2 linked regions of the Oryza sativa Japonica Group genome follow. The protein of the gene in region 2 interacts with the protein of the main gene of each other region in a pairwise test. Links are inferred from orthologs where the notes say so. Each region holds a gene or a part of one and is shown on either strand. Other genes may lie near its edges.

Region 1 (4,173 bases), on a different chromosome or scaffold from region 2:
CAATATTGTGCAACTTGGACTCGAGATTAGAAATAGGTGTTAGTGCACAGTGGCATATCTGGGATTTTTATATGGGTGATCGAACCTATACTTTTTTAGAAATACCCTAAATATAACAAAGCTATAAGTATAAATTGATCAAATATGCATAACAATATATTAATAAGGGAGTTAGTATTTTTTTTACTTTTTCTAATTTTTTAAATATATGTGTATATATGTATTAGGTTAGGATTTTTTTTCCGGTGGTCCTTGGATCCGCTTGTGTTACTGTACCTCAATTAGAGGGATGAGCTTGTGCTCGTTTTCTTCACCAGTGGTAGTGATTTTTTTTCCATCTTTCAGAGTAAATCTAACAGTCTAAAACTTAAATATTTTCCCCAAAAAATCCGTCGAAAGAAAAATAGCAATTTCGTACACGAAAACATATAGCTACTGTTTCTTAAATTAAATCTATTTATAGTATAGCAATCTACTGTTGCAAGGAAATGTGCCTAATACAAACAAAATGACAGCTCAATCAACACGCACCAAACTGAAACGGCCCACGACTTATATTGAGAGGAAGGACATCTATGGGCTAGGCCCACGACATTATTTTTCAACTTCTCAGGGAGAAAAAGAAAAGAAAGCGAAGAAATAGACTACACTCCTACTGTCCTACATACAGTATACGGACTACCAATGTGGAGAGAGCTGTAAACATCTGGTGGAGCCACGCACCCGATGCCTTTTCCTTTTCTTTCACGGTGACGTCGCACTCTAAATAGATCGAAATACTAACCTTGGCATATTTCACTCATGAATCAAATACATATGGAGCATAGACTATAGAGGCTTTGTTTGTTTGGGGTGTGTTTTTGTCTAGAGGTAAAGTTTTTAAAGTATACAGATACAGATTTGAAGTATTAAACGTAGACTAATAATAAAATAAATTATAGATTTTGCCTGTAAACTGCGAAACGAATTTATTGAGTCTAATTAATCCATCATTAGTAAATATTTATTATAGCATCATATTATTAAATTATGGCGTAATTAGGCTAAAAAAATTTGTCTCGCAATTTACATGCAAACTGTAAACTGTGTAATTGTTTTTTCCCACGTTTAATGTTTAATGTATGTGTCAAACATTTGATTTGATGTTTTTGTTCAAATTATTTTATCTAAACCAGCCTTGGTGCATCGAGATATCAATTTCATTTTTGGGGGCAAATTCCACGTGGTAGACGGTTGAGAGGATCGCGGTCGACGTGGCGACGCCTTTTTGATGGTTTTTTTTTTCCCCGCAGGAGAATCTGCGTCGCGCACTGACCCGTACAGCACTCAACTCTCTCTCTAACCTTTCCCCCATCGGATCGGTTGGTTGGTCGAATCTACCTCGCTACACAGTGGTAGGGGTAGAGGGAGGGTAGAAGAGAAGAGGGGGGAATCGCCGGAGGGTTCGAGAAGATTCTAGAGGGATGGAGGAGGCGGCGGCGGCGAGCAACGGGGGGCTGCTGTACCACGAGGTGCAGGAGGGGAAGCTCTGCGCCGTGCACTGCGTGAACACCACCCTGCAGGGGCCCTTCTTCTCCGAGTTCGACCTCTCCGCGCTCGCCGTCGACCTCGACCAGCGGGAGCGCCAGGTCATGTCCGAGGGCGCGGCCGGCGCCGCCACCACCGCCGCGGGGGACTTCCTCGCCGAGGGTGAGGGCTCCCACAACGTCTCCCTTGGAGGAGACTTCAGCATCCAGGTTGGCTTGCCCCGTCTATGGCCCTCCGCCATCCACGCTCGTGGGGGGTTTATTTATTTCTTTTCGCTTGTCTTCTGTCGTCCTGGTTAGTGAGATTGTTGCCGAGATGAACTTAGGTTGCCTGTAGGCCTGTAAGCTTCGAATTTAGCAAGATTGTTGTCGAAATGAACTTGGTTGCCTGTAGGCCTATAACCTCGAAGTTAGTGAGATTGTTGTCGAAATGAGTTTGGTTGTCTGTAGGCTTGTAGGTTCGAATTTTGGGGGGTTTGCTTGACGTATCATGTTGTTGATGGTACATTCTAGTTTAAGATTCTCAGATGGCTTCCGGAATTCCAAATAATAAATGATTTATAGCATAGTGGTCAATATGTTATCATGTTGAGGATGGTGAAGGAATGTTTATTTGTCTGAGACAGGAACTTGCCCACACTATTGTTCTCAAATGCAGATAAAATCATATAATTTTTATTGAAACCTTTCTATATGGTTAGGTAATATGAAGGGTTTATATTTATCCTAGACATCAGCATTTGCATGATTCCTTTTTGTAGTCACAACTTTGCTAGTTAGGAATATGTTCATAGGTTTTTGTTGCAGCAGTGTAAGTACTATGTGGTGATGATGACAGGAGATTGCATATTGCTGTATAGTTTCTTCTTGAGAAGTTACAGAAATTCTATGTGACTACATCTGTTTACTCCCATAGTTGCACGTTCATTTAAATTAACAACATGTGGGAAATAGTTGGGTGAGAGGGCTTTTTGTAAACGTCGACAAGAGTTCTCTTGGCAGGTTGCAGTTTTTCATGTTACGTACTTCACTACTTGCCATGCAAAGATACAAGTAAGTGCGTGCATGCATGCATGCATATATAATTATTAATTCTTCTGCGATTATTCCGACCAAATTTATGTTCGTGGTGTGCGCCATAAAGCTTTTACTTGTTTTGTTGCTTTGAGCTTTGTCGTGTACTGAATTGTGACATTAAGGAGAAATTTATGTTCTAGCTGTCTAGGTGTTATCTCTTACCTGTTTTAGGAAAAACAGCATAAGAGGTTTTTGAAAACCTGTTTGGTGTTTATGGGAATTTTAATTTTACATTAAGAACATCAACGGTGTTGACATGGACATTAAGGTTTGTATTATACTTTTAGTAACAATAGAAAAGAACAAAAATCTGAAGTTTGCGCTGAGTCCATTCCACTTATGGGCAAACCGCAGTAAAGCTCTGTCATCTGGGGTCTAACGTACAAGCAGAGGGGGTGATGGCAAGGAGCAGTCCAGGATGCGGCAGGCCCAGGCCCAAGTTATTCTCTGAGACCATATCCTTCTCTGGCTGAGATAAGCCCTTATTCTAAATTAGTTATGGTTAGAATAGTCAGTTTATTTTAGGATTTGGTAAGAGTTGGTTTGAGTTAGTTTTCGACTCAGATTGAGTTAATAGTTTGATTTGGAAACTATTGTTAGGGGTGGCTTTATAATCAAGCTCACGGCAATTGTTTAGCGGAAAATGCAATTAATTCTTTTCTCTAGCCGTTTCTAATGTCCTTGCCTCCCTGATGCAGTGCTGATCATGGCAATCAAACACCACCCTTGAGGTCCAGGGCCATGACCTATCACCTCTCACGATTATGATCTTCAACATATTTGACCCACTAACATACCTGCCCATGACAAGCTCGCAGTAGTTGAGTTTGTCATTAAAGCTTGTGGCTTGCCAGTTCTATCATTGTGGTAGACTGGTGTCCTAGATATGCCTATATTTACATTATCAATTGCCAAGAATATAATAGATCCTCAAATGCAAGTACAACTACTGGTTAATGTTTTGCCACCTTTTTTTATTAAAATTTGAAGGTATCAATTTTACAGTTTGCGGTAGAAAAAGATTTAGCGAATTCAGGACTTCGCTGTTAGCAATGATTAGCGAGCCCAAAAATATGGTGAAAATGTTGTCCATCTATGTTTTCTCAGTCCATGCACTATTGTTTATTGTTTTTGCACATATGCTGCCGATATTTGGATGTTCTGTATCCCTAGTTATCCTTGATGCATGTCTCTGTCAAATGTGGCCAATACCAATTTGCTGTAAATAACATTAACCATGTTTGATATGTTACCTTTTAAATTTGGGGTATGCAAGTTTTGCAACTCTTGTCCCTTGGGATCCATGGGAGAAGAATAAATTGTGCCTGTTCCCACTGCCCACTGTAAATAGTGTAACATGTTTACTCTGCTCTGGCAGCATTGCATATTTCGGAATTGTTACATCATGTAAATTCTCTTGCCATACTAGTGACAGATTTATTTCCATGTGCCTTTGGTATACATGAGCTGATATGTCTCTTTCATTCAACTTATTCAGGTGATTCTTTATGTAATAGTTAAAACTTAAAACCTTGTCACTGAATGGTTAACTAGAACTAAATGATAGTCT
Region 2 (4,025 bases):
AGAGATACTCTCGCTCCAAATTTCCGCATGGCGAAAGGAGTGGGTGACAAGTGGAGAGATCGTGTGCGTGGGAGGCGATGGGCAGAGCAATTTTTTTTCGTATCTGTTGGTAGTTAGGGGGTGGTTCCATTTTTTATTATTAGAAGTTAGTTTACACCTTAAAATCAAACTAGAAATTCAAAAACATAATTTTAGAGATAAATTTTTAGGTATATCTTGGGCATATTAAATATTTAGGTATATCTTGGGCATATTCTTTGGTACTCCCTCTGTCATATTTTAAGTGCAGCCATGATTTTCCGTGCACAACTTTAACTGTCCGTCTTATTTATTTTTTTAAAAAAAATTAAAATCATAAGTGACGTAAAAGTACTATTCATATTTGGGTGAATAGCTAATTAAGTCCCTCAAGTTTCACCGAAGGCTCAATTTGGTCCTTCACGTTTCATTTTATCCACATAGCTCCTCTAAATATTTGTTTTGGCTTGACATCATACTTGGGCCCACTTAATATGCCATATGGCTATTTTTAAGTCAATATTTCTATTAGAAAATATCCCTTTTGCCCTTAATTTATATACAACTATATACTAAAAGGGAGAAAACCAAGATGAATAAACAACATTGCATATATACTTCCCATTATTTCAATATGTGCACATGAAACTTAAGCAATTACTATCGTATACACTTGCTAGTACATAATTTATTTTCGTTTTACATAATTTACTAAACATTATCTTAAAAAAATAAAGCATACAAATTTTCTCTTATATATGTGAATGATGGGGGTATAAGTGTCATTTATCAAGAGAGTTGTTGGTTTAAGGATAAGTTTGAACTAAAATAAAAACTTGAATGAGTAATATGGATAGACTGAAACATTAAGAACTAAACTGAGCTTTGGATGAAACTTGGAGGACCACTTTAGCTATTCACCCTTCATATTTTATCATCTTATAATAATAAAAATACTAATTATAAAAAAATTTAAATAAAACGGACGATAAAAATTAGACGCAAAAACTTATAACTGCACTTGAAGACAGGGGAGTACCGGAGTGCCATTTAAAATTGGGAAAACGGAAAAGTGAAATATTGAGCTGAATTTCCGGGCGCTGGGGAGTAGGGGGGTCAAAAGAGTCATTTCCGCGTATTTCTCGCCCGTTCGCCATCTCTTGTCGTGTAGTACCGCCGAAAAGGAATTTCCCTTTCCGCCCCTGCGCTGTGCGCTCCACTCCACTACTTGAGTCCCCCATCCCCAGACTCCGCCACCACCACCTCCGGCTCCCCACCCCGACCAGCGGCGCCAGAGCAGAGGCAGTGAGGCCGAGCTCCTCGCCTCGCCTCGCCGTCTCCGCCCGCGCGGCGCTGCCGCCGAGCCGCCGCCGGCCTCCTCCTCCTCCTCCTTCCCGGTTCGGATCGGGCCCAAGGTATATGCCACTCGTCTTCTCTCCCTCCTCCCCGCCGCTTCATGAGCCACCGGAGATTGCCTTGAGGGGATTTCTTCCCGCTCGGATCGACGGATCCAGTCCCGTTTCTTCCGGGTTCTTGCGGTGTAGAGTCGTAGTCGTAGTGGTAGTGTTGGTAGCGGCTTGTTTTTCGAGGGAGGGATTTGGGGGGGTTTGGTTGGTTCGGGTTCTTGGGGAGGGTTTAGCTGAACCCGTGAGGTTTCTGAGGTCCCCGCCTGAACAGATCTGTGGTGTCTCCGTGTGGGAGCATGTTTTGCTGCGTGCGTGCGTGCGTGCATGCTAGCCATGGATTGGTGCTCACGCCGCATGCGTGAGCTTTGGGGGGGGGGGGGGGTTCAGTTGTTGTTGGATTATGTGAGCGAGAACGCATGATACGATGCAATGCCGCGGTCCTTTTTGTTGTGATGGGCAGCCTCACAGCATGCGTGCTGCGGCATTCACATGGACGTCGACACCGTGTCGATTCTTTTTGTGTCTCTTGTTGTGTTGTGAAATTTTTCATGAATGGTGCAAGGTGGCGGTTGGTCTTGGATGTGGATGTTGAGCTGGGAGGATCAGTTATCCTACAAATTGCATCTTAGTAGTACATATGTTGACATGGCATTACTGATTCACCCTCCTTTTTTTGCTTCTGCATGTCATTGCCCTGTTACCCCTTAAAATAGGTTCTATTATGGTATACCTATCCAGTGTGCAAGAATGATATGCCTTTGACATTGTTGCGTCATCTTTACTTGGTACTTTAGATGGTAAAATGGAAGTGTGATGGATGTAACTGTGTCAATACAGCGGAGAAGATATTAATCAATAATCATGTACATTTGTTGTTTTTGGCATCTTCTCATGTAAAATCTTTTGGGTCTGTTCTTGTTATGTGCTTCACTTTCACTTTTACTGTTTTTTTTTTAATTTTCAAGAAACATACAGCTTCAGTGTGGTGATTGATAAAAATCATTACTCTAACTAATTCTGTTTTCTCCTCGAACTGTTCTGTTCCTAGAGCCGGACTGCAGCCATGGCAGATCTGCAGGAGCCCCTCGTTCGTCCGAAGAGGAAGAAGGTTTTGGTGGACTACTTGGTAAAGTTCCGATGGATTCTGGTGATCTTTGTGGTGCTCCCCATTTCCGCTCTGATCTACTTCAATATCTATTTGGGCGATGTCTGGTCTGCCATGAAATCTGAGAAACGTCGCCAGAAGGAACATGATGACAATGTGCAAAAAGTTGTGAAGCGGCTCAAGCAGAGGAACCCAAAGAAGGATGGCCTTGTTTGCACAGCTAGGAAGCCCTGGATTGCTGTTGGCATGCGCAATGTAGACTACAAGCGTGCTAGGCATTTTGAGGTTGACCTTTCCGCCTTCAGGAACATTCTTGAGATTGACAGAGAGAGAATGGTTGCCAAGGTTGAGCCTCTTGTCAACATGGGCCAGATAACCAGAGCTACATGCCCAATGAACCTTGCCCTTGCAGTTGTTGCTGAGCTTGATGACCTTACTGTTGGGGGACTGATCAATGGGTATGGTATTGAAGGGAGCTCTCACCTCTATGGTCTTTTCTCTGACACTGTTGTCGCCGTGGAAGTTGTTCTTGCAGACGGTCGAGTTGTTAGAGCCACTAAGGATAATGAGTACTCTGACCTTTTCTATGGCATTCCCTGGTCCCAGGGAACACTTGGGTTTCTTGTTTCCGCTGAGATCAAACTCATTCCCATCAAGGAATACATGAGGCTCACATATACTCCAGTTAAAGGGTCACTGAAGGAGATAGCACAAGGTTATTGTGATTCGTTTGCACCACGAGATGGTGATCCTGCAAAGGTCCCAGACTTCGTTGAGGGAATGGTGTACACAGAAAATGAGGGTGTCATGATGACTGGTGTTTATGCTTCCAAAGAAGAGGCAAAGAAGAAGGGCAATAAGATCAACTGTGTCGGGTGGTGGTTCAAGCCTTGGTTTTACCAACATGCTCAGACAGCACTCAAGAAGGGTGAGTTTGTGGAGTACATTCCAACAAGAGAGTACTACCACCGTCACACCCGGTGTCTGTACTGGGAGGGGAAGCTGATCTTGCCATTCGGCGACCAATTCTGGTTCAGGTTCCTCTTGGGCTGGCTGATGCCACCAAAGGTGTCTCTGCTCAAGGCCACACAGGGTGAATCTATCAGGAATTACTACCATGACAACCATGTGATTCAAGACATGCTGGTTCCCTTGTACAAAGTTGGAGATGCTCTTGAGTTTGTTCACAAGGAAATGGAGGTGTGTTTCACTTCGGATCGAATATTTGATGTTTAAGTATCAAATATGCATTTAAAACGAGGCTTTTCAATTATATAACTACTTCTAGAAATGAATATTCCATGCCATAAATTGTTATGCTTGCACATGCATTCTATTACTTATATCTTTGGGCTTGATGTAAGTTCACCTAACTATTCTTGTGCCTGTACCAACTATTTTAGTGTACTGCAATCTACTGCTGCTTACAGTTCACTAATAATTTCTGTTATTAGGTTTATCCACTGTGGCTGTGCCCGCACCGGCTCTACAAGCTC

Evidence for each region.
Region 1: the proteins of delta(24)-sterol reductase (region 2) and putative ataxin-3 homolog interact in binary tests that used the Arabidopsis thaliana proteins (3 or more experiments, as listed by UniProt). The link is inferred for Oryza sativa Japonica Group from reciprocal best matches to the Arabidopsis thaliana genes DWF1 and AT3G54130.

The regions. Positions count from the first base shown.
Region 1 is NC_089035.1:37,283,769-37,287,941, reverse strand, and holds the start of putative ataxin-3 homolog, read left to right. Parts: upstream 1-1,372; 5' UTR 1,373-1,463; coding exon 1,464-1,736; intron 1,737-4,173. UniProt on the Arabidopsis thaliana protein: Interacts with key regulators of transcription and represses transcription. Acts as a histone-binding protein that regulates transcription. Acts as a deubiquitinating enzyme.
Region 2 is NC_089044.1:14,013,892-14,017,916, reverse strand, and holds the start of delta(24)-sterol reductase, read left to right. Parts: upstream 1-1,216; 5' UTR 1,217-1,433; intron 1,434-2,474; 5' UTR 2,475-2,487; coding exon 2,488-3,729; intron 3,730-3,983; coding exon 3,984-4,025. UniProt on the Arabidopsis thaliana protein: Plays a critical role in the general process of plant cell elongation. Involved in the synthesis of campesterol, an early precursor of brassinolide.